4 linked regions of the Arabidopsis thaliana genome follow. The main gene of each other region encodes a partner of the protein of the gene in region 2 in a complex. Each region holds a gene or a part of one and is shown on either strand. Other genes may lie near its edges. The genes, in order: IDL2, SERK1, IDA and IDL1. A codon is read from its position in the direction of its gene.

What was found.
Region 1: the proteins of SERK1 (region 2) and IDL2 are in contact, whole or in part, in a crystal structure (PDB 7OGQ), measured with the Arabidopsis thaliana proteins. Residues at the interface, in NP_177328.1 of Arabidopsis thaliana: Asp51 (codon at 3,214), Thr53 (codon at 3,220), Leu54 (codon at 3,223), Val55 (codon at 3,226); in NP_001078796.1 of Arabidopsis thaliana: Arg80 (codon at 4,291), Lys81 (codon at 4,294), His82 (codon at 4,297), Asn83 (codon at 4,300).
Region 3: the proteins of SERK1 (region 2) and IDA are in contact, whole or in part, in a crystal structure (PDB 7ODV), measured with the Arabidopsis thaliana proteins. Residues at the interface, in NP_177328.1 of Arabidopsis thaliana: Asp51 (codon at 3,214), Thr53 (codon at 3,220), Leu54 (codon at 3,223), Val55 (codon at 3,226); in NP_564941.1 of Arabidopsis thaliana: Lys66 (codon at 3,900), Arg67 (codon at 3,903), His68 (codon at 3,906), Asn69 (codon at 3,909).
Region 4: the proteins of SERK1 (region 2) and IDL1 are in contact, whole or in part, in a crystal structure (PDB 7OGO), measured with the Arabidopsis thaliana proteins. Residues at the interface, in NP_177328.1 of Arabidopsis thaliana: Asp51 (codon at 3,214), Thr53 (codon at 3,220), Leu54 (codon at 3,223), Val55 (codon at 3,226); in NP_566774.1 of Arabidopsis thaliana: Met75 (codon at 3,251), Arg76 (codon at 3,254), His77 (codon at 3,257), Asn78 (codon at 3,260).

What each region holds. Positions count from the first base shown.
Region 1 is NC_003076.8:25,846,744-25,853,297, forward strand, and holds IDL2 (inflorescence deficient in abscission (IDA)-like 2), read left to right. Parts: upstream 1-3,765; 5' UTR 3,766-4,053; coding exon 4,054-4,341; 3' UTR 4,342-4,632; downstream 4,633-6,554. Other genes in the region: AT5G64670 (Ribosomal protein L18e/L15 superfamily protein), read right to left, coding at 5,792-6,058, 6,172-6,261, 6,360-6,443. UniProt on the Arabidopsis thaliana protein: May be involved in floral abscission.
Region 2 is NC_003070.9:27,015,940-27,025,860, forward strand, and holds SERK1 (somatic embryogenesis receptor-like kinase 1), read left to right. Parts: upstream 1-2,218; 5' UTR 2,219-2,635; coding exon 2,636-2,723; intron 2,724-3,151; coding exon 3,152-3,284; intron 3,285-3,369; coding exon 3,370-3,441; intron 3,442-3,558; coding exon 3,559-3,702; intron 3,703-3,805; coding exon 3,806-3,877; intron 3,878-3,972; coding exon 3,973-4,044; intron 4,045-4,127; coding exon 4,128-4,240; intron 4,241-4,370; coding exon 4,371-4,502; intron 4,503-4,660; coding exon 4,661-5,002; intron 5,003-5,107; coding exon 5,108-5,502; intron 5,503-5,588; coding exon 5,589-5,903; 3' UTR 5,904-6,178; downstream 6,179-9,921. Other genes in the region: SEC6, read left to right, coding at 91-180, 276-392, 472-534, 675-806; AT1G71840 (transducin family protein / WD-40 repeat family protein), read left to right, coding at 6,485-6,602, 6,688-6,738, 6,814-6,855, 6,934-7,199, 7,282-7,429, 7,527-7,610, 7,704-7,819, 7,955-8,113 and 1 more; AT1G71850 (Ubiquitin carboxyl-terminal hydrolase family protein), read right to left, coding at 8,936-9,921. UniProt on the Arabidopsis thaliana protein: Dual specificity kinase acting on both serine/threonine- and tyrosine-containing substrates. Phosphorylates BRI1 on 'Ser-887' and CDC48 on at least one threonine residue and on 'Ser-41'. Confers embryogenic competence.
Region 3 is NC_003070.9:25,827,387-25,834,094, reverse strand, and holds IDA (Putative membrane lipoprotein), read left to right. Parts: upstream 1-3,313; 5' UTR 3,314-3,704; coding exon 3,705-3,938; 3' UTR 3,939-4,178; downstream 4,179-6,708. Other genes in the region: AT1G68780 (RNI-like superfamily protein), read left to right, coding at 760-981, 1,138-2,214; NUDX1 (nudix hydrolase 1), read right to left, coding at 4,488-4,795, 4,870-5,005; PPC4 (phosphoenolpyruvate carboxylase 4), read left to right, coding at 5,991-6,146, 6,302-6,465, 6,577-6,691. UniProt on the Arabidopsis thaliana protein: Involved in an ethylene-independent separation step of floral abscission. Promotes abscission zone (AZ) cells rounding. May act with RLK5 and HSL2 as ligand-receptor pairs.
Region 4 is NC_003074.8:9,334,816-9,340,997, reverse strand, and holds IDL1 (inflorescence deficient in abscission (IDA)-like 1), read left to right. Parts: upstream 1-2,922; 5' UTR 2,923-3,028; coding exon 3,029-3,289; 3' UTR 3,290-3,567; downstream 3,568-6,182. Other genes in the region: AT3G25660 (Amidase family protein), read left to right, coding at 1-1, 91-270, 354-448, 534-609, 687-764, 853-996, 1,078-1,191, 1,272-1,358; SK15 (SKP1-like 15), read left to right, coding at 4,539-4,784, 4,835-5,122. UniProt on the Arabidopsis thaliana protein: Involved in an ethylene-independent separation step of floral abscission. May act with RLK5 and HSL2 as ligand-receptor pairs.

The sequences.
Region 1 (6,554 bases), on a different chromosome or scaffold from region 2:
ATTATTTTTTTATTTTGTGACCAATGTTTTCATGTACTTCAGTATAATATTACTTTTTCTTTAATTATTATGAATCTATATAATTACTTGTATTCATCGACCACATTTACTTTTATCTTTTTTTCCCATTTATAATGGTATTTTTTTTTAAGTATATCAACTATCATGTTTTATACAAACCAATAAAAATTCAAAAGTATGATAATATTTTCTTGTAAATTTGATAGAAAACACATAACCTATATGCAATATAATTCGAAAAACAAAACAATTACATATATTTTATTAAAATAATTTCTATATTTCGACCCCGGTAAAATAATTTCTATATTTCGACTCCGCCACTGGTCCTTCTTGCGATTAGATTTGACGTTTTAAGTTTGTGAGATGACCGACGAGACGCGAAAGCATAGCACGTGTGCGATCAGTGTTCTACTGTGATGGTCAAAGTCAAACCCAATATTTTCTAACCAAAGCGTATTTATTGTTTTGTTGAAACTAAACTGCTATGTCTCCGACAAAAAATGGGCAAATTTTACCCATAAATAGTTTTCTTTTACGATTAAGTAAATGTACATGTTTAGTAAAAAATTGGACATGTAAATGATGTGGATGCACCGAAACTAATTAAAAGTTTTAGATGATTGAAATATAAATTCTGAGCATATAATTATTTATGAAAAAGTTAACATTAATTCATCGGAAAATCAAAATGTAGCTAACGAACTTGTTAGCTCACCACATCATCAGTGTCTTCACTCTCCACCTACAAATTAAATTTATGAATTCAATCATTACTTTATTATATTTCTGTAACGCATGACCCAATTTATTTTACTCAAACCAAAAGGACCAAAAATATAAATCTTTCTACTTAATGGCGTTGAAATGTTTTGAAAAACTAATTTCTCGGCGAAACAAGAGAAATCACAATATAATGTCTGGAGTAATCTATACATGCAAGTATAATAGGAAATATGGATGAGGCTTTTTGTATGCCAGCCTCGGACACGGTACTTGGTGCGACATATCATGTGAATGCTCGAATCACTTTCAATGAATATTCATTGATGACTCACGATTCATGAGTTGTGACCGTGACTCGTGACTCGACTCATGAGACATGCCTCGCACCACCTTTACCCCGACCGTTCCGTACACTATATACGCGTATTTAAGTACGTAACGTTGATTTCTTCACAGGTATATGTATTCTTATCACATGTATAAACACGATCGATCGCACGTGTGCATATTTTTTAGTTATTACTTGTTGTGCGTTCAAGTAGTTTTATTTTTTTCTATAAGTAACATTTGTGGGTTCACATAGTTGCAGCGCAATGAGGAATTAAAAATATAATTTTGAAGATTTATTAAAATTTGGTTTACTATTTAACGTTGTTTGGGATTTAGTTAATGATTTACTGAGTTGTGGTTTTTTAGAGAACATGAAGGCGAATGGATATCTAGTGTAAAAAAGTTTAACTATTTATTTACTATTACGTACAAACAACATTGGTTTAAAGACGGAACTCGCTATTCACAAAGTATTTTCTCTTCTTGTCTGCATCACATACTACATTTAAATTCACCTTTGAATTCATGAAACAAAACTTTGTGTGAATGGTGATGCGTCTTGTGTTTTATTACATTCATCACAAAACAAATGTCGGTTGATTTCTTACTAATGATGTGATCAGAAAGCACACCCAATTACCATTAGTATATTGTTTAGTATATATTTATGATACTACATTATATTAATCAATGGTCCATAACTATACTTCACTAGAAACCTGTACAACCAATCTAGGGATTAGCTAGAATTGTCAGTCAGTTTCGTGTTGGCCTAAAATAAAATAATTTTGAAACACTATTTCAAATAAAAGAATGAAATAATAATGGAGAAGTACGGTTGCTAGATTTGTAATAGGGTAGCTAAGACGTAGTCAGTGTTTGAAATAGTAGAGAAAGGTATGGGACTTAGACCAACTTTAGATTTCAACTGTTGTTCCTGACATTACCAAGACTCTTCTATTTTAGTTTACTTTCTGTTCGTGTACTTCTTCTCATAATATTGGGACAATAAGAGTCATTTTACTCCATACTCATTGAAATGTTTTTAATTTAATTTCCATAAAAGATAACTATTACAAGGTATCAGGTCTAATAATCATTTATTCTGACCTTTGTCATGTACGTTAACCAAGAAATAAAATTTTGAAAGCAAATTTTAATTAATTTGTAACTCAATAGATCACATACTATTTGGTCTGTTGTATATATGTCCATTAATCTTTTGTAATTTGTATGCCAAGTAGACTTATGGCTCTGAATTTCATTTATTAGATTTCCTTTTACAAAAGTGGATGAAAAATGGTAAAACCGTATAAGTGTTGGGAAGAGGTTGCATTGAATGAAGAACTCTAATTAACTCTAATGGAAAAAGCTTAGATAAGAGATTGAAATGGCAAGAACGGTGATTGATATATGGACTGTGTGCATACGTGTGTCTACACAAAATATGGTAACATATATGCATTTGAAGTAGCTTAAATTGAGGAAGATTTCGCAATAAAGATTGAATAGTCGCAATGTTGTGACATAATTATAATCGGTCACTATATTTAGACTGGGGCCTGTCATATTTTCTCCTAACAAAAAAACTATAAAATTATATAAAGTTTTGAGTCTTGACATAACATAGAAAAGGCTTTACCTTACCATATCACTTTGTATTAATATTTTCTCTTTGCCCACTTTCTCCGTTCTTTCTTATTCATTGAACATAGGTGACATGAAACCTTGCATCCAAGGCATTTGAAGAAACAAACGAATCTATCTTTATTTGTTATATAATCTTTTTATTTCCTTTGTTTTTGTCAATATTATAGAAAATTATTATATACCAGAGGTTATAGTCAACTAATTAATTGGATTTTTATTTTTTGTAATGTTAAACTTATCCACCAGAAAGATTATATGTGTAATGTAATAACTGGACTATTTTGTAAAATCATATTTTAAAATTATAAAACCTCAAACCTTACTGAAAACAGGTGATTTCAAAATTTCATGCAAGTAAATGTTGAACTTTCCAATTTTATAAATAGTCTTGTTAAGCAAGAGTTTTACGATAATCCCTCCCAAAGCACTATAGCTTTAAAATTACTATGTTAGTTGTGTCGAAAATACAAAGCAAAAGAGAATAATTCTATGCAACTGTTGACAAGAGAAAAACACATTATTGCGCCGTACAAACGTCTTGTCTCCATTTCCATAAGATAATTTGTTTTGAAATATATAAATCTTAAGCGAGCTATCGACTATCGTTAGTGTTTTTGATGAATATGATGAAAACTAATGGGATGTTTTCATTACTCTAATAACTTTCGCATAAAAGTGAAAGACAACGAATATGGAGGATATCAAAAGTTTCTGGTTTAATTTTCTCGGCATTTCATTAAAACTTTCCATACCTTTCAGTAAACAAATCTTCGTTCCCTATAATTTTTCAGATCATATGTGGGTCAAGTAAAAAACACTCCCCCTTTAACCTAAACCACTTAATGACAATAAGTCTACAACCATTTTGTGTGCTTAGTTACCATAAATTTTGCCTTAATAATTTAAGAACTGTAAATATTTGTGCCCTGCAACATTTTTTCAATAAACCTAAACTATCAACAATTATAAGTCTAAAAAAATCTACCACCAAACAGTTTCTTCGGCTTGTAGACCAAAACCAGTTGTCAACAAGTCTACAACTACTTGCATAGTTGAATAGTTCGTGAAAAAATAAAGAGAAAGTATATATCAGAAGTAATTAAATACACACGAAAACATAACTCAAAAACCTCTTCTTAGTCAGATTCTCTCTCTATCTATCTCTCTCAATCTCCATCTGCCCATATTTCTTGCTGTCAACAAATTCATTCAGCAATCTCCTTTTTCCCCATCAACAACAAACAAAAAATAAAGTCCTTTCACAACAATTATATTTAGAACAAATTCACCAAAAACCCTTCCACAAAAAACCTCTCTTCTTCAACAATGTCGTCTCGAAACCAAAGATCAAGAATCACCTCTAGTTTCTTCGTCTCCTTCTTCACTAGAACCATTCTTCTTCTTCTCATTCTTCTTCTTGGTTTCTGCAATGGAGCAAGAACAAACACGAACGTCTTCAACTCGAAACCACACAAGAAGCACAACGACGCCGTTTCTTCTTCAACTAAACAGTTCTTGGGGTTCTTGCCACGTCACTTCCCTGTTCCAGCTTCTGGTCCCTCCAGAAAACACAATGATATTGGTTTACTTAGTTGGCATCGATCTTCTCCGTGAGAAAAAGCTTGAAAGGTCTTGAATTTTATTTTCTTTCTTTCTTTTAATTAGTTATATGTTTCTTTCATTCCGGTTCCTCTCTTTTACCCTTTGCTTTTGAGTTTTAAGTTGGTGTAAATGTTTTTTATTTTATTTTTTTTTGGTAATGCCAAGAAAATGGTTATTTTTGTTTGATTAATGTCGACAAGGCTAAACATATGATTTATTATTATGAAATTGTAATTGGAAGTTGTATTATTTTTTGGATAGCTCGAATTTGTAATATTGCACGTATCAAAGTGTGTGAGCCGATCATCCTCATGATATACACGTGTTCTTGTTATTATAATAATAATTTAACTATCTGAAAAAGTTTATGATTAGTTCGAAAATTGACTTTGAATATTATATCACAAGGACTAATTTGTATGTGTGTTTGTAAAAGAATAGATCAAATCTTTAAACTTTAAAGAGGTTTGAAATATATGGTGTAACTAAAAAGTCTGATGTAGAATGGTCTTGAGATTTATAATCGACTTTTTTCTTGGGATCTATCGATTTGTTTTAATGATAACCAATAATGTCTTTGAAATGTCTATTGTGATTTGTCAATGTGATGGACCAAGGTTGCATCTAATTCTATAGCCATTTAATTTATTTTGACATTAAACGTGACATTTATGCCGGAAGGTGATCATCAATAGGTACATAAGATCAGAAAGGTGTGATCAATAGAAGAAGATAAACAGAAACATTTTTAAAATATAGTGTATGATATTGAACTGCACTTGATTTTAAACAAATACGTAATGATCATTTTTAAAGACAAATAAACCGATCTAATTACATATTTATTTGATAATAAAATACCAATCGAGTACTCTTTTTTTTTCGTAGTTATTTAATATAATCAATGCTATAATTAACAGTACAGTACTCATCATTACATGTTTGTTAAGAGTAATGAGTTCTGAAACCTCGAAATCTATCTTCTTCTTCTTTAATCACGTTCGGTTGTTCAAATTCAGACAATCATAGCCCCTTTTCGATAAATTAGGTAAATTTCGCACATCGTTTTGGTAAAATAACACTGCAAAAAAGGGACATAATCTCATAACCTATATATTTGCAGTTGCAGATTTTAGCATCTTTAGTCAAAAAAAGCAAAGTTACCATTGAACTCATTAACATTAACAACGCCTCAACCAAACCGGATAATAATGAATTCAAATCTAACGTGATTGTTCTCTGGTTTTCTCAACCTTCTACAAGAACAGGCCTTGATCCCAAACAACAAGTCTGAAAATGGTTGAATAACTTGTTGTGGCCAACTACAGATAAAGTAAAACGAGAAAGACCTTATTTGTCAAATTAAAATCCGACATTCTCAATTTTCTAGTGGTGAACATTGACCAAGAAACAACACAAACAACTTAAACAGAAACATCAAACGTTAAATGGCAGCCCAAAATTATGATTCAACAGGAGATTCAACTTTGGTCTCCTCAGCTGCAAAGAAGGGAATGGGTTTTTTCGGAGCTGGAAGACGTCCAATGCTATCAACCTTATCTTGTTGTTTAGGAGGTGGTCGCGCTGCTTTTGGCAATAACCTTCCTTTCTTCTCAAACCATTCCGGTTTAAGCAATGCCCTTAAGCCCAACTTGTTGTAATACACTCTTCTCACTGATCCTCCTGCTGCTTCCACCACCTCTTTGGCCCTAACCGTCACTCTCGAAACCTGTAATAAACACGCTCATACCGATCAACTGAACATCTAACTAAGCAAATACATTGACTGGTGCAACGGCTCTAGAGACTACAGAGCAAAAGTTAATAACGCAAATGATAAACCTCGAAATGAAGTGGCCATTTGATATCATCAGCACCACGACCCATTAGTCTTACTCCATCTTCTATTTGCTTTCCTATGGCTCCCACATCCTGCAAACCGACGTTAATGTGTTCAGTAAGAATCAGACATATTAAGAATCCTAAACTCAATTTAAACCGTTGAATCAAAGAGTGAAGTATGACCGAACCTTGAGCGTTTTCATTGTAATCAATTCATGAGAATCTATCTTCCCAGCGTTTATGAGTTTAGCAATCTTCCCTAGACCAACCGGCTGCATCACAAAACAATCATAAACATCTTTAGTCGCTGCATCAATAGAGTGTCAAATCCTAAATCCTTACACACACAGTATAACCTACTTCACCACAAGCAGCTAAAGAAC
Region 2 (9,921 bases):
TCCCCCATTTATTCTCAAGCATTTTTACCTTTTATATTTCATCAGCATACACAAACACTGAACCTTTGGGGTTGACGTGTGTAATTCCAGAAAAACTACATCAAGGAAGAAACTATTGAACGGATGAGGCTAGATGAAGAGGTTCTCATGGATTTCTTTAGGGAGTATATAAGTGCATCTGTAAGTTGGTTTCAGCACTTAACTCATTTTTAACCTGAATAATTTTATATTTCTTTGAAGTATTGCTTAATATTTCCACTGGAACTGTGTTACAGAAAGTGGAGAGCAGAATCAGAATAATGAGCGATCTGAGAGAACTTGCATCTGCAGAGAGTCTAGATGCATTTACACTCGTGTACTCGAATATTCTAGAGCACCAGCCTGACTGCCCGGTAAATATTATCTAAACAAAGCCTGCTCTGGCTTTTTACAATATCAGTATACACAGAATCTCTAATATATGGTATGCAGGCCGAGGTCGTAGAGAAGCTTGTTAGTCTGCGTGAAGGCATACCACGGAAGGACACAAAAGAGGTAAACATACCAAACTCTCTTTTTTGGAAAATGCTGGGTTATAATTGTAGCGAATCACATGGATTTTTAAACTATGGTTACGAGACTTCAAATGGCGAAGAATTCTTAAATTGACGAAATGGTTATGGTGATGAAAACAGGTGGTACAAGAGTGCAAAGAGATATATGAGAACACACTGGTAGATGGTAATCCTCCAAAGACAGGATTTGTATTCCCGAGAGTCAAGTGCTTAACTGCTTCCAAAGGATCTATGTGGCGAAAACTCACTTAATCTGTAAAACAGCGTTCAGCGTTTGCGTCCGTAACTGCTTTTCTAGTTGAGATGATGTTCTTTCTCCAAATTATGGCGTTTGCGTCCATGTCTTCTTTTTCTTTGCATGGTATCTTTCCTCTGTAAATTCTGTGTTTTCTCTTGTTTTGTTCTTTTTCTTACCTTTATTCCTGGATTTGAAAGTTGAAACGCTCGGTGGCCACTTGCACTAGGATATTATCCCGTTGTATTTAGGAGGCGTATTTTTTTGTCGCAAATTTTAATTCTACTGTTTCATTTAATTTTGATAAAATCTTCTTAAAGTTCGTTTCTCTTTCATAACAAGGTAGCTCTTATTGTTTTTAGAATTATTTCTGATTTGTGAAATTTTGAATTTGAAGCATATTTTTATCATGAATATAAAAAATGTTGGGGATTATAAAAAAGTTTGTAAATTCACTCATTGGCAGCTGATTTAGCCACTCACAATATCTAAATAAATAATTGTAAGCATTATCTTGAAATATTTTCTGAAATGACTGTTTCTTTTTTACTTTAATTAAATTTTGTTCTAGAAACCTTTTGATCATAATGAAAATAAAGAGTCCATCCACCACATGGGGTAAGCATAATGTGTGATATTTAAAGGGTAACAAATGTAATCTGCTTTTTATTTTACTTTTTACCTCTACTCAAATTGTATGGGCAGTTTTTTTTTTTTTTTTAAATGATAAGACAAGTATCTGTTTAATGGTATTGTGATGAAACAGTAGTAAAGTCATATCGGGCACGCCATACTACTTCCACAGTGGAACTTGGCCAAATTTTGTCTTTGCCGTCTCTACAGTTTCTTCCACCAAATTTTTTGTTGACAAAACTCAAATCTTTCAATCTCATCTCTGCCAAAGTTGGGTTTAGAAAGAATATCAGCAAACACTAATATCTTTATTGTTGCATGGTTTATCAATCACAAAATTCACAACCATTGTAAAAAAAAATTCACATTTTTGGTATGAGATTGCTCACATGATAGTGAACCTCTTTAACATTTTAACTTTACTTTCATAAATACGGGATTACGAATCTTACTTGCATTAAAAATTTAGAAAAGGTTTTTCTACTTAAAGAAAAAAGGGACCCAACAGAGAGAGGTTTGACCAGGAGAAACGGGTGCATAGCCTTAAGAGCTTTCAACTACTTTACCCCAAACCCAAAGCGATGTCACTTTCAACCATCTCTTCTCTCCCCCGAACCCGTTTTTTTGACCGGTCAGTTCGGGCAGCAGCACCGTTACGGGCAGCTTATATTCCTCGTCTTCCTCCTCTACACCACTGCATGCCCATAAATAAAGCCCGTTGAGATCTTTAAAAATATTAAATAATATATCAACGAAAAAGCTATTTTATTCATAAGAAGAAAAAGAGAGGAACAACAACAACACACTAATCATAGTTTCTCTGGCAGGCTTGTTGTTGCGGCTTAATAAAAAGCTCTTTTGTTATTATTACTTCACGTAGATTTTCCCCAAAAAGCTCTTATTTTTTTGTTTAAAAAAAAAAGTTTCATCTTTATTCAACTTTTGTTTTACAGTGTGTGTGTGAGAGAGAGAGTGTGGTTTGATTGAGGAAAGACGACGACGAGAACGCCGGAGAATTAGGATTTTGATTTTATTTTTTACTCTTTGTTTGTTTTAATGCTAATGGGTTTTTAAAAGGGTTATCGAAAAAATGAGTGAGTTTGTGTTGAGGTTGTCTCTGTAAAGTGTTAATGGTGGTGATTTTCGGAAGTTAGGGTTTTCTCGGATCTGAAGAGATCAAATCAAGATTCGAAATTTAGCATTGTTGTTTGAAATGGAGTCGAGTTATGTGGTGTTTATCTTACTTTCACTGATCTTACTTCCGAATCATTCACTGTGGCTTGCTTCTGCTAATTTGGAAGGTTCGTGGTTACTCAATTACTCAGCTTTACTCGTTTCTCAATTACTTTCTCGATTCTTTTTTATTTGGAGGTGAATCGCTATCTTTAGTGTCTGCATTTTGATTTATGAAAATTGTTGTTGTTCTTTGTATTTGTAAGATTTAGTGGCTAGTACTTTGAATACACTGTTTTGCTTTTCTTGTTCAGATCAACTTTGTATATTGTAAAGGCATGTTCTTTGGGTTGAAAAGCTGGGTTATTTGATATCTTAAGATTGATGTTGTTGATCCAAACATTCTCTGAAAGACTTCATTTGTTTTTGGTTTTGTAAAGAATTTGTTTAATTATTAGCCTCTAATCTCAGAGAGGCCTGTTTGAATAGTTCTCTCTTGAAATTAGACTTTTCACCAATTGATGCTAATTGTGTAGATTTGTTGTTCTTGTTATAGGTGATGCTTTGCATACTTTGAGGGTTACTCTAGTTGATCCAAACAATGTCTTGCAGAGCTGGGATCCTACGCTAGTGAATCCTTGCACATGGTTCCATGTCACTTGCAACAACGAGAACAGTGTCATAAGAGTGTAAAGCTTTCTTCTACTAATCCCACTTTTTAAACTTTGACCTCAGCGTGGTTACCGACATTTTTGTTTCTTTTGTCAAATACAGTGATTTGGGGAATGCAGAGTTATCTGGCCATTTAGTTCCAGAGCTTGGTGTGCTCAAGAATTTGCAGTATTTGTAAGTTCCACTTATGCATCATGCTTTAACAAAACAAATCCAAGATTTGACAGAAGAAGCACTGGAGTTACCTTTTGTAATTGAAATCTTTTTAACAAGTTTCTTATTTTCTTACAGGGAGCTTTACAGTAACAACATAACTGGCCCGATTCCTAGTAATCTTGGAAATCTGACAAACTTAGTGAGTTTGGATCTTTACTTAAACAGCTTCTCCGGTCCTATTCCGGAATCATTGGGAAAGCTTTCAAAGCTGAGATTTCTGTGAGTATACATATGCTTTACCGGCTCAGTTACAGTCTTTGTTTAATCTTAGGTTTTGTTCCAATTTTTGACTCTTTGCTGAAAATTTTACATGCAAGAATAGCCGGCTTAACAACAACAGTCTCACTGGGTCAATTCCTATGTCACTGACCAATATTACTACCCTTCAAGTGTTGTGAGTCCTCTCATTAACTTTCATTTATGTCTACTTCATTCTCCCTCAGTTGATTTGTTGAGTTAATGCACTTAACCTTGATGGATGCAACACAGAGATCTATCAAATAACAGACTCTCTGGTTCAGTTCCTGACAATGGCTCCTTCTCACTCTTCACACCCATCAGGTTCTATGATTTATCCTCTTCAGTTATTTCAGTTGTTGTGTCAGTGTCTGAACTTATTCTGAAACTTTCATTTCCTTGTGCAGTTTTGCTAATAACTTAGACCTATGTGGACCTGTTACAAGTCACCCATGTCCTGGATCTCCCCCGTTTTCTCCTCCACCACCTTTTATTCAACCTCCCCCAGTTTCCACCCCGAGTAAGCCTCCTCTTTTTAGTTTACATTATAGGAAACAGAAGATGAAATCTTTGCTTCTCTGTCAATCCTTTTTCTCATATAACTCATCTTGCCAATAAGGCAATAACCAAATGATCTAATTTGATTTCAGGTGGGTATGGTATAACTGGAGCAATAGCTGGTGGAGTTGCTGCAGGTGCTGCTTTGCTCTTTGCTGCTCCTGCAATAGCCTTTGCTTGGTGGCGACGAAGAAAGCCACTAGATATTTTCTTCGATGTCCCTGGTGAGTTTATTATTCGCATTAGTTTCTGTTCTTAGCCAGCAATTTTGTTTTGCAGAAAAGTATTGGAACAACTGTTAATGAAAATCAATACATAAGTCATTGTTTTTTAAGTTACAAACTCTTTTGAGTAAAATCTCGATTGCAAAATCTCTTTGCAGCCGAAGAAGATCCAGAAGTTCATCTGGGACAGCTCAAGAGGTTTTCTTTGCGGGAGCTACAAGTGGCGAGTGATGGGTTTAGTAACAAGAACATTTTGGGCAGAGGTGGGTTTGGGAAAGTCTACAAGGGACGCTTGGCAGACGGAACTCTTGTTGCTGTCAAGAGACTGAAGGAAGAGCGAACTCCAGGTGGAGAGCTCCAGTTTCAAACAGAAGTAGAGATGATAAGTATGGCAGTTCATCGAAACCTGTTGAGATTACGAGGTTTCTGTATGACACCGACCGAGAGATTGCTTGTGTATCCTTACATGGCCAATGGAAGTGTTGCTTCGTGTCTCAGAGGTAAAAACTAAACATCTTGTGCTCTCTCTCAATTACTTTGACGTGAAGTGTTTTTTCATGTTTTCCTTTATGGGTTCATAATTGTTGGTTACACTAATGACACAGAGAGGCCACCGTCACAACCTCCGCTTGATTGGCCAACGCGGAAGAGAATCGCGCTAGGCTCAGCTCGAGGTTTGTCTTACCTACATGATCACTGCGATCCGAAGATCATTCACCGTGACGTAAAAGCAGCAAACATCCTCTTAGACGAAGAATTCGAAGCGGTTGTTGGAGATTTCGGGTTGGCAAAGCTAATGGACTATAAAGACACTCACGTGACAACAGCAGTCCGTGGCACCATCGGTCACATCGCTCCAGAATATCTCTCAACCGGAAAATCTTCAGAGAAAACCGACGTTTTCGGATACGGAATCATGCTTCTAGAACTAATCACAGGACAAAGAGCTTTCGATCTCGCTCGGCTAGCTAACGACGACGACGTCATGTTACTTGACTGGGTAATAACAACATAAAACTTCCATTTGACCCCAACAAAAACCATTGAAACGAGAATCTAATCTCAAATACTTGTTTGTTGGTTTAGGTGAAAGGATTGTTGAAGGAGAAGAAGCTAGAGATGTTAGTGGATCCAGATCTTCAAACAAACTACGAGGAGAGAGAACTGGAACAAGTGATACAAGTGGCGTTGCTATGCACGCAAGGATCACCAATGGAAAGACCAAAGATGTCTGAAGTTGTAAGGATGCTGGAAGGAGATGGGCTTGCGGAGAAATGGGACGAATGGCAAAAAGTTGAGATTTTGAGGGAAGAGATTGATTTGAGTCCTAATCCTAACTCTGATTGGATTCTTGATTCTACTTACAATTTGCACGCCGTTGAGTTATCTGGTCCAAGGTAAAAAAAAAAAACATAAAATTATTGAACAATAACAAATTTTACAAGGTAGGTAGTTTTTTTACCCGTAAGTTTTCGTTTTTTTTAATTGTTAATGTAAAATGAAATCTAGCATTCAAAGATTTGTGATTTTGTGCTATGGTTCGATTAAAAGGGAAAAAAATTGTAATCTAAAGATTTGTGTAAGATTACTGTCTATTGTATGAAGTATGAACTATGAACACAATATATGTACATCCAAAAATACGTTAAACTAACTCCGCTGTTTTGCTACAAAAACCCTTTCAATTTTGTTCTACTAAACGTCGTTAGAATACACAAAAGCGAAACAGCGTCGTTTATTTATAATGCGCTACTCACATGACGCCGTTTCACTTTTGTGTATACAAACGACGTCGTTTAATAGAAAAATTTTTGGAAGGGTTTTTGTTGGGAAAAAAAGAGAAGAAGGGTTTTTGTACTTTGTGTCTTCTTGTTCCATCATCGTGACACGTCACACCTCCATTCATCTCCGCCGTCCTCTTCCTGTTCTTAGTCGCGGCTGGAAAAAACTGTGGTGAGAGAGAGAAGAAGAAGAAGAAGAAGATGAGTAATAATACTAATAATACAGAGATGAATAATCTAGCGATGGAAGAAGAGGATGAAGGAGAGATTTTCCTTGGTGAATCCGATGTCCTCCGTGAAATCGATGTCGACGAAGAAGGTTTTTTTTTATCTCCTTCAATCGTGATTTTTTTATCGTATGTATATATGTGTATGTGTATGTGACTCTTCTATTTTCGATTCAGATCTTCCTGAAGCAGATGATGATGATATGGACGATGATGGTGAACAATTTGGTAACAGATTCACCACCTCGTGTTTCCTCAATATGAAATTTTATGGTTGTTAATTCTACCAAATCTTACTTTCAGATGAAAACGATGACTCTGTTCACACATTCACTGGTCACAAAGGTAACGTTTTTATCATTTTATTTCTCAATTAAATGTTTTTTAACTTTCATGAAACTAAGAAAGTTTTGTCTTTTACAGGTGAGCTTTATGCATTGGCTTGTAGTCCAACAGATGCTACACTTGTTGCAACTGGAGGTGGAGATGATAAAGCATTTCTCTGGAAAATTGGTAATGGAGATTGGGCTGCTGAGCTTCCTGGTCACAAGGACTCTGTCTCTTGTTTAGCTTTTAGCTATGATGGACAGTTACTTGCTTCTGGAGGATTAGATGGTGTTGTACAGATCTTTGATGCATCATCAGGGACTTTGAAATGTGTTTTGGATGGTCCTGGTGCTGGAATCGAGGTATAAATAACTTGTCCTATATCATCATTGTAATTGAGATCCTCAGGTCCAAATCTAGTACTTACTGTGTGGTATTTTTCAGTGGGTGAGATGGCATCCGAGAGGACACATTGTGTTGGCTGGATCAGAAGATTGTTCTCTATGGATGTGGAATGCTGATAAAGAAGCTTATCTTAATATGTTTTCGGGCCATAATCTAAATGTTACTTGTGGTGACTTCACCCCTGACGGTATTGATATAAGCTTCTACCTTATATGCTTCTGTGGATTATCTAATTGAGTCTACCTGTTTTAATTGTATTGTTTGACTGTGTGTGGGTACTGTAGGTAAACTAATTTGTACTGGCTCTGATGATGCAAGTTTGATAGTATGGAACCCAAAAACTTGTGAAAGCATTCATATTGTTAAAGGCAAGCGAAATTTAAACATGTTACTACTGCACAAATACTAAATCTTTCGCCTTCTTTGACTGGTTTAAAATGCTAACTTCTTGCTTTGTGTAGGTCATCCTTATCATACGGAAGGATTGACATGCTTAGACATTAACTCGAACTCAAGTCTTGCTATCAGTGGCTCAAAAGACGGTTCTGTTCACATTGTGAATATAGTCACCGGAAAGGTTCGTCCTTTACTGTACTGCTGTTACCAAGCTTTCACTGGATTGTTTTATGATCTATATCATTTCAATAAGCAAGTTGGTGCTTCTCATATCTATTTGACATATCATCTAACTTTTTCATAATCATACCAACAGGTTGTGAGCTCCTTGAATTCTCATACAGATTCAGTTGAATGTGTGAAGTTTTCACCAAGCTCCGCAACCATCCCTTTGGCTGCAACAGGTGGAATGGACAAGAAGCTTATAATCTGGGATCTGCAGCATTCCACTCCCAGGTTCATCTGCGAGCACGAGGTATAAACCCTTATAGTTTCTCTGAGATAGCATCAAAACAGATATTGAAACTAAAACAACTCCTCTCTTCTTCTTTTTTCGATTACAGGAAGGTGTGACATCTCTGACTTGGATAGGAACCTCCAAGTACTTAGCCACTGGCTGTGCCAATGGTACAGTGAGCATTTGGGACAGCTTATTAGGCAACTGCGTCCATACCTACCATGGTCACCAAGATGCGGTCCAGGCCATCTCAGTCTCTACCAACACGGACTTCATTGTTTCGGTATCTGTCGATAACACTGCTAGAGTCTTTGAGTCATCTGAGTTCCAAAACAAAGTGACATAGGCAAGTGAGGAGAATACTTGCAGATACTATCCAGACATGTTGCTATCTGTGTTCGTTGTTGTGGTCTTAATTCTATGCTTTGTGGGGGAAAATTTTGACAAGAAAGTTATCAATGTCTAAAATTCCATATGTACACGGCTTAATTTATTGATAAATGTAGTCTCTGTTTGGAATTTGTCCTTCATTTTACAGTTCTTATGGTTCGAATGAGATTGATAAATGTTACTCCTTACATTGATATCGTTAATGAATGAGATTCATGCTAATGTTCCACTAGCAATTGAACTACTTGATATCATGAGTCTGCCAAATCGACTGGAGAAGTCAGATTTAGGGTCTGAGCATCACCATGGAATTATAACCGAACTCTTTATAAAAACTCTTCTCCCTTGAGAAGTAAGAATGAAACGGGCAAGCTATAGAGTGAGATTACTACACAGGAGAAGAAACGAATCTGCTGAAAATGCAGCCACCGGTAAAGTTGGATTAAGTCTCTAATACATCCGACTCCTCTTCTTCTCAGTCTTTAAACTGATCTTGCTCCGCCTCGATTGTGCCTTATCTCTTGAACCTGAGTTTCCAAAACTCCTCCTACCAGATCTTGGACTTGAATTTCTACGACCACGCTCCAGATCCTGGTTTTGATCCACTTCATCATCGTCCTCGTCATCATCAACAAAGTCTCCTTGACGATCATCCTCGACATCAGAACCAGAAATGTCATCATTCTCAGCCTTCGCATCAGTATCACAAACTTCCCCTTCCACTTTCCCCTTATCTTCTTTCTTGCTGCTCGAAGAAACTGCCTTGTTATCTTTCTTAACTGTATTCATGAGTTTCATGTAACGGTTCCTGCTTGTCACCAATTCATTACTCTCTATCAACATCCCCCTCTTGTAACCATCTCTAAGAACCACAGTGTGAGTCCTAAGCTTACTAGACAAGTAAAAGATACCAGGATGATTATGGAGAACTCTCTTAAACCTCGATCTCAATCCCATAAACTCACCAAGATGCAAAATAGCATCTTTCTCAACCTTCTTCGACACAAAAAGGTTCATGATCTCGTGCAAAACAGCCGCCGCCCACTTATCAGACTCATCGCTAGTCGCAGACAGATGAAGTGCATTCTCATAAGGAGAAATATACGGCAACTTCTGCCAATCATCAATCCATTTCTTCATCTTCTTATCAACCACAAAACCATTCGAAAACTTCATCGGAAAAGCAATCGCCGATCCTTTCGTATACTCTCCTTTACGTAATGTTCTAGCTTTCTTCTCCAACACAGATACAGCATGCTCATTGCTCCAACAAACCAGCTCTAGCTCACCACTACATCCTCTTAACTTCGATTTGATAACTCTAAAGTAATCAGGAAACTCAGGTACCATAGTTTCAACATAATCCTTAGGTAAACCTAAATCCCATTTCAACAAATCTAGAATCTCTAATGGAATTTTGTTAATCCTATTAATCA
Region 3 (6,708 bases), 1.2 Mb from region 2:
TTGCATTATCAACACAAGATGTTGGACCTCTCTCTTCTTATCATTTTCATTACCATTATTGTTTCTTTGCTTTGGTAACTGTGTCTTGCTTTTAAAGATTTGGCTTCTTTTTTTTTTTTTGGTTCATAAGTTTTAATTGCTATTGCTAAGTCGTTGTCTAAATCTCTGGCTATGTACCCTATAACTTCACAACTTAGTTCAATTTGCTTCTACTCTATGTATAAAACCAGCTTTGAGCATGTTAAACATTGTAAACTTTTTAAGATCCTTTACATTTTCTTTAAGTCTTTATCAAATACTTGTCATATTGTAGATTCTTATATAGGTGTCTATATACATGCACATAAAGCTGTGTAATATGTAATCATAAGTTAGAGAAACAGATTTGGCTTTTCCTCTCTTGTTCTCTGTTGAGTATTCTTCTTGGCATCTCCTCTATATTAAACTCGAAAGAGAAACAAAACAGAGAAACCTCTAAAGCTTTCTTTTTTGTTCTCATGACATTTTCTTGTCACAAACCAAACTCGAGAAGAAAAGTTCTTGTATACAAATCAACCAACATTCATTGTTTTTAAAAGGGTCCCATGACCCATTGTGGAGATAGCTTTGTTTTCATCTTCCAACATTAACACCCACCCCAAAATCTTGATTACTTTTGATAGAAACATATGCAACAAGTGGAATAATTCCAATACAGATAAGATCCACACAACACTTTTTTCTCCTTCTATTCTCTTGTATCTTCTCATTATAGTCTCGATGAAGATGCTGAGACTTAGAAAGAAGCAACATTTGGTGTTTCTACTATGCGTGTGGTGTTTGGTGGTGGATTGGAGCAAAGCAGAAACAGAGGAAAGTGATGGAAGTCCCATGGAGAAAACAGAGCAAGCTGCTCTATACTCTACCATTCAAGGCTTTGTTGGTGAATCTTGGAATGGCTCTTATCTTTATCCTGACCCTTGTGGCTGGACTCCTATCCAGGTCCTTTCTCTCATCACTATTCTTTGATTATCAATAAAAAACAACAAAAAACTATCTTAGTAATGTTTTAAGCCTATCAAGATTATGATTATTGAATTCGGAAGCCGTTGAAAATGTTGAGTAGCTGATGTAATTCTCTGTTGTTTAACTCTGCAGGGTGTGACTTGTGATATCTATGATGAGCTTTGGTATGTAACTGCTCTAAGCTTTGGGACTATGAAAGACAACTCTCTTGCTTGTTCTGAAAGTCCAGTGATCAGACCACAACTCTTTGAGCTCAAGCACCTCAAGTCTCTCTCTCTTTTCAACTGCTTCACAACGCCTAACCGATATCTAGCTTCAATCTCCGATGAAAAGTGGTTGGATCTCTCTAAAAGCTTGGAGAGACTTGAGATCAGATCAAACCCGGGACTGATAGGTGAACTCCCTTCTGTCATCACTAACCTCACCAACCTTCAATCTCTGGTGGTGCTAGAAAACAAGTTAACAGGTCCATTGCCAGTGAATTTGGCCAAGTTAACCAGATTGAGACGTTTAGTACTGTCTGGAAACCGGTTCACAGGGAGAATACCTGAGGTCTACGGGTTAACCGGATTGTTGATATTGGATGTGAGCAGGAATTTCTTATCTGGGGCGTTGCCTTTAAGCGTTGGAGGATTGTATTCTCTGCTGAAACTTGATCTTAGTAACAATTACTTGGAAGGAAAGTTACCTAGAGAGCTAGAGTCCTTGAAGAATCTCACTCTATTGGACTTGAGAAACAACAGATTATCAGGTGGGTTGAGTAAAGAGATCCAAGAGATGACTTCTTTGGTAGAACTGGTTCTGTCCAATAATCGCCTAGCCGGGGACTTGACAGGAATAAAGTGGAGAAATCTGAAGAATTTAGTGGTTCTTGATCTCTCCAACACAGGCTTAAAAGGGGAGATTCCTGGTTCAATCTTGGAGCTCAAGAAACTGAGGTTTTTGGGTTTGAGCAACAACAATCTCGGAGGCAAACTCATTCCACAAATGGAAACCGAAATGCCTAGTCTCAGCGCGCTTTACGTGAATGGAAATAACATCAGCGGAGAGTTGGAATTCTCTAGGTACTTTTATGAGAGAATGGGAAGGAGACTTGGTGTTTGGGGGAACCCTAATCTGTGTTACAACGGAGATGAGACCAAGAACCTTAGCGATCATGTTCCTTTCGGAGTGAACCAATGTAAGAGAATTAAGGCAGATAAATATTAGAACCCTCGTTCTGAATCAAAGGGTTTGTGATAACAAAAACTTGGAATGATACAAAGCTGTGGTCTTTTCAATTTTGTTATTGCATCTTATTTCTATAGCATTATTTTGTTTTAAATTATTTAGCGTATTTACAAAATATAGTTTTGATATCTCGAAGTTCATTAGAAAAACTTCCAAGTATTTTTTTTTTAGATCATACAATCATAAAATTAAATAACAGACTTACCTAGTTTAAATTTACTGTGTATCAATGATTCAATGTATGATACGGTCGGTTCTTACCTAGTTAAAATTTGTTTTTTTTTAGTATATGTAAAGATCTACCTGTTTCCATCAAATTAGAAGAATTGTATGATTTTATGCGACATGTCTAATCGTAGGAGGTATGTTGGAACTTTATTTTATTTTGGCATTTCATAAAGGAAATATAAAAAATTCTATTTAGGTAAAAATAATAATCCGTGACTAAGTCCGATATAGATGCAGAAATCAGGTGGATATCCAAATCAAATTTGGCATAATTTAAAGAAAAATGTGAATCATGGAAAGCCACTTGTCAAGTTGTAAAATTGTGTATAACTGAGTCAACCCTCCAAGCTACTTTTTGTTCTCTCTTTAATTTCTTAAAATACCTTCTCACGCAAAAGATAGAGTTGGTATACATTGTTTTTACGTGTTTTATGCATGCATTTTTCAGTATATTTTATGTGTATATTCGTTTAACTAAATTATTATTTATTCCGTATCATGATTAACCTACGACATGTTATCATTTAGTCTAATCCTTTTACTATACATACGTGTATTGTCTACCACTTTCGTCATTCGTCCAAGGATGATATCTAATTTTCTTTCTGCACGACATATATGATATATTGTGTGCTTAAAGAAAGCTCATGAGTCATGTCTGATATTTGAGTTCGAATTTCGAAAACTAATCTTGCTTTACTATTCATACATCTTGTGATATAGTTACTGTTGAAAGTTGAATAATGCAAAAGAAAACAAAAGATAGCTCATGGTGACGATGCCTATAAAACCATTAATTATTCTTCTTCCCGTCAACGTACTTGTACATATATGATGAAATCTTGAAAAAAACGACCATCCCATCAAACCAGATTCCCATTTCCTAGCATAAAATGGACTTCTATAGAAAAATACAAAGGAAAATAAAAGTCGAAGGCGGTGACTAAAACAACGAGAAAAACTCAAACCTTTGAAAACTTTAGAATTCTTATAAAATAATAAGGAAAATTCAAAGTCTCAATAGCGTGGGATTCACTCCACTCTTACCATTCCCCGACTTCCCCCTCATTTCCGCCACACTTATTTCCAATCAAATCCACACACACACATGTTATAAATATAACACATAGTCACATACATACACATTATTCATTTCATTCATAAGACCCTTCATTCATTTACTCAAAGAAGTGGAAGTGAAAAAATTAGAAAAAGAGAAGAAAAAAAACATTGACTACCAAATGGCTCCGTGTCGTACGATGATGGTTCTGCTCTGTTTTGTTCTGTTTCTCGCGGCGAGTAGTTCTTGTGTAGCGGCTGCAAGAATTGGAGCCACCATGGAGATGAAGAAGAATATAAAGAGATTAACGTTTAAAAACAGCCATATTTTTGGTTACTTACCTAAAGGCGTTCCCATTCCTCCTTCTGCTCCTTCTAAGAGACACAACTCTTTTGTTAACTCTCTTCCTCATTGATTTCATTTTATTTTATTCATTGTATTCTTTTAGGTTTGGTTTTGTAGATTAGATCAACATAGGGTATTATACTCTTTGTATATGCATACGATTTATATTTACTTTTGAATTTGTTCCTTTTTATGTTTATAGACTTAATATATGTTTAAGGTCATTACGGCCATATAAAGATCAAGAAATCGATTAAGCTTTGTTAGCCTTCTACTAAAGAATATTCCATAGACCTCACTCATCATACGCTAATCAAACATATGTTTTTATGCAACTTGTAAGTTATATCATTCGTCTTTCTCAAATAGGTCAATGTTTGAGTTAAGACTTAAGAACGTAATAATCAAACATAGAGAAATAAAATCGATAGGACACATGATAAGTTTATTACTAATTAGGAAAACAGAAACCAAAAATACAATAAAAAAGAGTAAAAGAGAGGGGCATTCCGAGAATTGAACTCGGGACCTCTCGCACCCTAAGCGAGAATCATACCACTAGACCAAATGCCCAATTTGCAACATTCAATCCCAAATCAATCATTAACTCTTACATCTATTAGTCTCCACCACCATGAGTGAAAGGATTGAAACCACTTCCAAACAATTTCTCAAGTGGCCAAAACAAAGGCTTTGGTAGATTCTCCCAATCATACCAATCCCATCCTTCACACTTCTCTGGTTCCATATTCTTCGGTTCTTGACTTGGATCCACCAACACCGCACGTATCGAAACAGAGACGTAGTGTGATGGCGTTGGTGCTTCTTTGAAGACATTGTTTGTAACAGTCAAAAGCTTCATCTTTTCAATCTTTAGACCTGTTTCCTCCATTACTTCTCTCGCTGCACATTCTTCAAAGCTCTCTCCTGATCAAAGAACAAAGATTAGATCAAATCAAGATTTGGGTGATATAAAGAGAGAAGAGAGAGAGGAGAGAGACCGAATTCGAGGTGGCCACCGGGAAGAGCGAAAGTGGAGTTGCCGATTGAGGAACGGCGGCGACCTAATAAGATTGAGTTTCCGTTGAGAATGAAAACGACGACGGCGACTCTTGGTATCGCTTCTCCTGTCGACATTATTATCGAACACAGTGAAACCCTTTCTTGTCGTGTTTTAGTTTTGTTGACTTAATTTGAGTTTAAAACGATGTCGTATCGGTTATGCGTTTATATACGTGTTGGCAAATGTGTCGCCGTGTCGGTGTGATTGGCTGTACACAATTATCGCTGTTTCTTTTTCCATTGCACTTGTTTTCATTTTATTTATTAAAAAATTTAGATGATATTATATAATATATGTTCTTTATGATGTTGCCATAACGAGAACGATTATGTAAAAAATAACATATACATATACTTTTCTGTTTATAAATGATTATTTTTTTAGAAAAAATTTATTTCTAAAATATTGATTTTTTTAAGTTTTTTATGCAATATTTATTGGTTAGTATTGATGAATTGTAATTAAAAAAAAAAAATTAATTATCATTGTTTTTTGAGTTATAGAAAACTGTAAAACATAAAAAATAATGTATTTATAATCAACATTTATTATGTTTTCTTAAAAAATAGAAGGAGTAGTCATTTGTTAGATAGTAAGACTTAGCCAAATTATATGTCATTTACTGTACTTTAGTTTTTTTTTCCGATCATAAGAATGTATGTTAAAATAACAATCACCAAAGAGGCACAAAATAAATTGTAGGTCCAAAGATAAAACAGAGTTAGTTAAAACCAGTTACTCCTTTCGTAGAATTTTTACCCAAAAAAAGAAAAAAAAAAATCGTAGAATTTCCTTCTCTTTTCTTCTTAATTATAATATATCAACTGTTTGTTTTGTTGTTTAGTTTGGAAAGGAAGAAAATTAGCTTAAGAAATAAGAATATATTTTTTTGGGGAAAGATGACTAGCACCACAAATTTAACTACGCCATAATTTACTGCGTTGACCACCATAATTAGTAATTAAGCACCATAGCTAACAAACCATATATAATCACTCTTCAAAATATTTAACTTTGATCACTGCAATTATTCATTCCTTCACCTTGTTCATTGATACAATGACGGACACAACAGACGATATCGCAGAGGAAATCTCATTCCAAAGCTTCGAAGATGACTGCAAATTGCTCGGTAGTCTCTTCCATGATGTGTTACAAAGGGAAGTTGGCAACCCATTCATGGAAAAAGTCGAACGCATTCGGATTCTTGCTCAGGTTTCATCTTCTGTCTATTCGCTTCCATATGCTTAGATCATTTGATAAGAATCTCACATCGTAGTAATAAGAGATATAGTCATATAGATCAATCAACTTATCGAAACAAATATGAATGATACGACTTATTTTTGTGTGGTTTTTAAATGTTTCAGAGTGCGTTAAATTTGCGTATGGCTGGTATTGAGGATACCGCAAACCTTTTGGAGAAGCAATTGACTAGTGAAATATCCAAAATGCCACTAGAAGAAGCCTTAACGTTGGCTCGTACATTCACTCATTCTCTTAACTTAATGGGCATTGCAGACACTCATCACAGGTCATGATTTTTGTAATCACATTACAACAAAAATATTACAAGTAATAAACATGAATAGATAATTCTAAACTTAAACATTGTGGATTCTAATAATAAACATTTTTATTCCAGAATGCACAAAGTCCATAACGTTACACAACTTGCAAGATCTTGTGATGATATATTCAGCCAGCTATTGCAAAGTGGAATCTCTCCAGACGAACTTTATAAAACTGTTTGCAAACAGGTCTAGCTACTTCATAT
Region 4 (6,182 bases), on a different chromosome or scaffold from region 2:
AGTAAGGTCTCTTGTTGTAGTTGGTTTCCTGCATTGTAATGAACGAAAGATGTTTTCTTTGAAAACAGAAACATATTTCTCTTTGTTCAGGATGTGCCTGAGTTCCAGTCTCAGTTTCTATCTGTGGATCATTTTGAGTCTAAACCATTGAATGGAGTGAAAGTTGGTATAATTCGCGAGACACTTGAAGACGGTGTTGATTCTGGAGTGAGATCTGCTACTCAGGAAGCTGCGTCTCACTTAGAAGCATTGGGTTGTATATTGACAGAGGTTATTTTCACTTTTCCCTTTGTCTCAGTTTTTCTTTTTCGTTTTTGTGTAAAAATTCTGAGATTTGTTGCCAAAATTTACAGGTCTCCCTTCCTTCATTCTCTCTTGGACTACCAGCTTACTACGTTATTGCCTCATCGGAGTCATCTTCGAATTTATCACGTTATGATGGTGTCAGGTAATCTCGGTATTATGACTTGACTCACAATATGAGTGCATCATGGATATAGAAAATGATATTGTTTCTTGTATTGGAAATGAAGATATGGTAATCAAGTTATGGCTGAAGAACTCAATAAGCTGTATGAATGTTCCCGTGGAGAAGGATTTGGAGGAGAGGTATGATTTCAGAATTTACTCCATCTGATTTAATCAACAAATGCTTGATTATAATCAATGACAATTTTGATTTCAAGGTGAAAATGAGAATTTTAATGGGGACATATGCACTTTCTGCGGGTTACTACGATGCTTACTACAAGCGAGCTCAACAGGTAAGCCGCATCTTCAAATGCAGTCAATAGAAATAGAACCTGTTTTGATAGATAAATGTATGCTCTTTTTGTTTGGTTGTTAATACAGGTGAGGACACTAATTCGAAAAGACTTCAAAGCAGCGTTAGAACAGAACGATATCCTTATTTCTCCGGCAGCTCCATCTGCTGCATACAAGATTGGTGAAAAGAAAGATGATCCACTGGCAATGTATGCTGGAGACATTATGACGGTAAAAATCTTTCGTAGTTTCTTTCTCTATTTAATCGTTGTTACACGAAACATAGTTTGTATCATATGAGGTTTGTTGCAGGTCAATGTGAATCTTGCCGGACTTCCTGCAATGGTATTACCTTGTGGATTAGTCGAAGGTGGTCCCTCGGGTCTTCCTGTTGGTCTTCAAATGATCGGAGCAGCGTTTGATGAGGTTTGTTATAAACTCTGTCTCTTTGCTTACTCTAAAAGATTAGATTAAGATTCACATGATGATTTGTTGATTGGTTTTAGGAGAAATTGCTGAAAGTGGGTCACATATTTGAGCAGACTCTTAAAGGATCGAGCTTTGTTCCTCCATTGTTAGCCAATGTAGCCTAACCATGTAACCACCAAGGCTCTTTTTGCGTTTACATTTCATGCTTGGTTTAAGCAACGGATTTATCAATTGTAATTGTACTTCAATTCTTTTATAATATAAATGTAGATACACCCCATGGGCCACATACGTATTCTTTCTTCTTCTTCTTCTTGGTCTCTATGCTCTTATTTGGTACTCCTAAATGGGGATGGTTTTTTTCTTTTATTCGTTTTTGATTTATTGGTCCTTGGCCCTTGCCATTGCATTCATGCACTTGATTATTGTTGAGTATCATGATTGATTAACACAATTTTTAAATATGTATATTTTGTTATAAATCTTGAGTAAATAAACTAAAAAATTGTATCAACTGAAAAGAAGTCCTTGCCATTGCATTCATGCACATGATTATTATTAATTATGGTTGTATCATGATTGATTAACACAATATTTAAATTTGTATATTTTGTTATAAATCTTGAGTAAGTAAACTTAAAATTTGTCCACTAGTACCAACACAAATCTTAATAAATGGTCAAAAGCATTACACGTTTCAAATAGATTATTGGCATTTTATAAAATGAAACTCTGGTGCTAGAGTATAAGTATAGACTACTTTAAAATTTCTAGAATAATTCTGAAGAAATCATATGTTATTACCTATAATTATGCAAACATATTAAAATCTCAGAAATCTAGTGGTCCAGACGAATATCTGTCTCCAGTGGACGATCAAAATCCAACGGATCATGCGTGTGCATGGTTTGACATTTACGTCTACTCCGTGAAAGTTGTCACATGAATATATAAACACATTAACCTATGAAAAGAGATTTTTGTTGGACGAAATGTTATGTTAGTTGTTATAACAGAACAAAATTATGTGCTGATAAATAATTTAAATATTAGGTGCCACAAATAATTTGCAGGTGAATAATTAACTATTAAATATGATAAATTAATTGTTTGGTAACCCCTAATAACGGAAATAATTTCTTTAAACAAAACTTGTTTATTTGGCCTATGGACTATACATGGTGGTTAGCTTCAAACTATTTACGCAAGTCCTTCTCAAGAGATCATGTTAAAAAGCTACAAGAAAAAGGAAAATAGAATTTACTTTTCTTTCAAAATCGAAGACCAAATGATTTGATAGTCATTGGCACCTAACTTTGGACTAAACAATCACGTACGCATTGTTCTTTTGTTCACACATAATGTGTATATAATATACAAAGTCTACAACAACGTGATTCTCTTACAAAAATTTAAATTTTACACACATAATTGATGATGAAATTATATTTTACACAATATAATACCAATAATGTTTGATAATTAAATTTTGACAGACAACTAGAGGTAATCACACGTACGTACACCATCGTCCAACGCGGCATTTCAAGTCTTTTATTCACTATCGTAGTATCGTTGACCTTTTAATATTATCACAAAATACTAACATTCCATTACTTGCGCTTCACTTCTTTATTTTTCTTTTGCTTTTCTTGTTTGACCAATCATACAAGAATGTGCATACTTTCATACATGATATATCATATATATACACGCTCATATATACATCTCAAAACTTAAACCGCCTTCTTAAAATCCAAAATTTATAAAACCCTAGCTAATAGCTAAATTAGTGTCTCCTCCTCCTTATTCTTCTTCTTTCTCCGAACATTATATGAATCTTTCTCATAAAACCATGTTTATGACTCTTTATATTGTTTTCCTCTTGATTTTTGGTTCATACAACGCCACGGCAAGGATCGGACCGATTAAGCTTTCTGAAACGGAAATAGTTCAAACAAGATCAAGACAAGAGATCATTGGGGGTTTTACATTCAAAGGTCGTGTGTTCCATTCATTTTCTAAAAGGGTACTTGTACCACCTTCGGGACCTTCCATGAGACATAATTCTGTGGTGAATAATCTCAAACACTAACTGTTTTTTTTTTCTTTTGGTTTAATTTCAATCTCTTAGGATTTGCTTCAAAAATTTTTTGACAATTACATGAAATTGTATTTCGAAAAGATTCTTAAAGTTGTATTTAATGAGTTCATTCACATTTGTAATATCTCGGTTGGAACGTTATACGTATGTATATAGACTATATCTTTCATTATTTGTTATGGGAACAAAAATTCAAATTGATAATGAACAAGACAATTTCTATTCACAAGCTATGGAATTTGCGAATTGTAGAAATCTCTCAGCAGTAATATAGATCCATTGGGATTGCATAAGTGAACTGCATGAGCCCATTTGCGGCCTGCGTCTATTCGTATGAGATGGGCTTCTTTAAGTTTGGCCTAATAATAATAAAAATTCAAAGAATTCACCAGACAGCTCCTCGTAGTGAGCTTCTCAGCCAAATCTCGCTCAACACTCATCATCTTCATGCATGTACTCTACATCCTCACTCATCAGTTGACTCAAAATCAAATAATCAAATCACTAGAAGCAAGTTTGGAATCAGTTACCCTTCAAAGTGAAACGCTTCTCATCAAACCTTCTGATGATTTCAGGGATCTGAAACACCAAAACATTTATGTAATCTTTATCAACCAAAGCAATGAACAACACATGAGAACCAAAGCAATGAACAACACATGAGGACCAAAACATATACGTAATCATGTTGGAGTCTGCTACAAATAGCTTTACAGGGAAGAAACAAAGCATGAATTAGTACATTGACTCTTTTGGATCAAAATGGATGGTACATATCTTGTGATTTATAATTTTTAGCTTGTTACAATCGTCATTGCATAGAACTTATATGAGTATTATGGATTGATCTTATATTTAAACATAAAAATATTTTTATACAAATAAATACTTTATAAGTTTCCAAGATATAAATTTGATATTTTATATAGATATATAAATATAAAATTTTACAAATAAATATCTTTCTCTTTTGCGGATCCAATAAAAGGGGTTAATCCCAACAAACTAGTTAAGTTAGAATTTGCGTTATTTTCCTTATTTCCTTGAGAAAAAGGAAACAACATGAAACCTAATTCTAATTGGAAAAGGAAAACACAAATTGACCGACTCTTAGGATTTCTATAGATAAACACATTCATCGACTCTTTTATTTTTCATTCAACAATCTCTCATCAAATTTCTCTGCACAAAAAATAAAAGCAAAAACTTATTTTTTCGTTTAACACACAAAGCAAACAAAATGTCTTCTAACAAGATTGTGTTGACTAGTTCCGATGGCGAGTCTTTCCAAGTTGAGGAAGTGGTGGCACGAAAACTGCAGATCGTAAAGCACCTGCTCGAAGACGACTGTGTTATTAACGAAATCCCTCTTCAAAACGTTACAGGAAATATTCTCTCCATCGTTCTCGAGTATTGCAAGAAACACGTCGACGATGTGGTCGATGATGATGCATCTGAGGAGCCGAAGAAGAAGAAGCCCGATGATGTGGCGGGCCGGTTCCTGAATCAACTGAAGAAGGAGATGATGCATCTGAGGAGGCGAAGCAGAATCTCGATGCTTGGGACGCAGAGTTCATGAAAAATATTGATATGGAAACAATCTTCAAGCTCATTCTCGCTGCTAACTATCTCAACGTCGAAGGTCTTCTTGGTCTCACTTGCCAGACTGTTGCAGATTACATCAAAGATAAGACGCCAGAGGAAGTTCGAGAACTCTTTAATATCGAGAATGATTTCACACATGAAGAAGAAGAAGAAGCGATTCGCAAGGAGAACGCTTGGGCTTTTGAGGCTGACACAAAACACGAAGATCCAAAGCCCTAGTTTTTTTTAAAACCCTAGCTTTGTGTTTCGCTGTGTTGTTTCTTTTTTCTTTTTCCTTTTTCATATGATTTGATGAATGATTTGTTTCCGTTTTCTCAAGTGTGATATTGACTTTTGGTCTCTTTAATTTCGTTGTTAATTTTCTATAATTGACCAATGTTTTTCCGTTGTTAATGTTCCTCCTTTATTCTTCTTTGCCACTCCAAATCTCTAGAAGAGCTTTTGCTTGATAGTCAAGTTTTGCCAGATGGATCCCGCCAGAACTCGAAATTTCTGTCTTTTTAAGTTTTTAAAATCCATCAGATCATCTCAAGAACTAAGCACATAAATACCTCACACTCTATAACATGAAGAGCAAACAAAATTTTCGTTTGAAGACTAAATATTGCTTTGCCTTACTATTTGTCAAGAGATGTTTGTTTCCCTTCTTTTTTCTTTTTTTTCTTTCTTTTTTTTTAAATATTAAGAGGCTCTGGGCCGAAACCCGTAATCCTCCCAGGCCCGAAACCACAACATGTAATATTAGTTTCGTCTCAAGCGTCATTCGAACCGGCGACCTTTAAACTTCGCCTAGATCTTTACCAATTGAGCTAACGACACTTGATTGTTTGTTTCCCTTTCTACTCTAACGGAGCTGAACAAATAATCCAAATCAGCAACATAAACAAGAAACTTTTTGTTTTAGGTTGTTAATTACGACTAAAGTCATAGTATCTTGTACTGTTATTTACTCGGAGCTTGATGGTGGAGAGTAAGTTTGGTGTTTCATGCTGACTTAGATGAGGCCTACCTCTATACTGTTGGAACAAACTAAAAACTTTTTTGTGGGAGTCATTAATGAAAGGTTGTGCTTATCTACATTTTCGTTGATCCAATTAATGAGTTTAAGGATATACAGTAATTACACTTTCGCCTATTGGCTTTTCTAATTTCCAAAAAAAATATTTAACGATTTTATCATTAGGCATGAGAATTCAAGCCATCCTCTAAAATGCAAACATCAAAGAAGAGTAACAGTTAAAAAATGTAAACCACATTTGCATAATAGCATTAAGCCAAT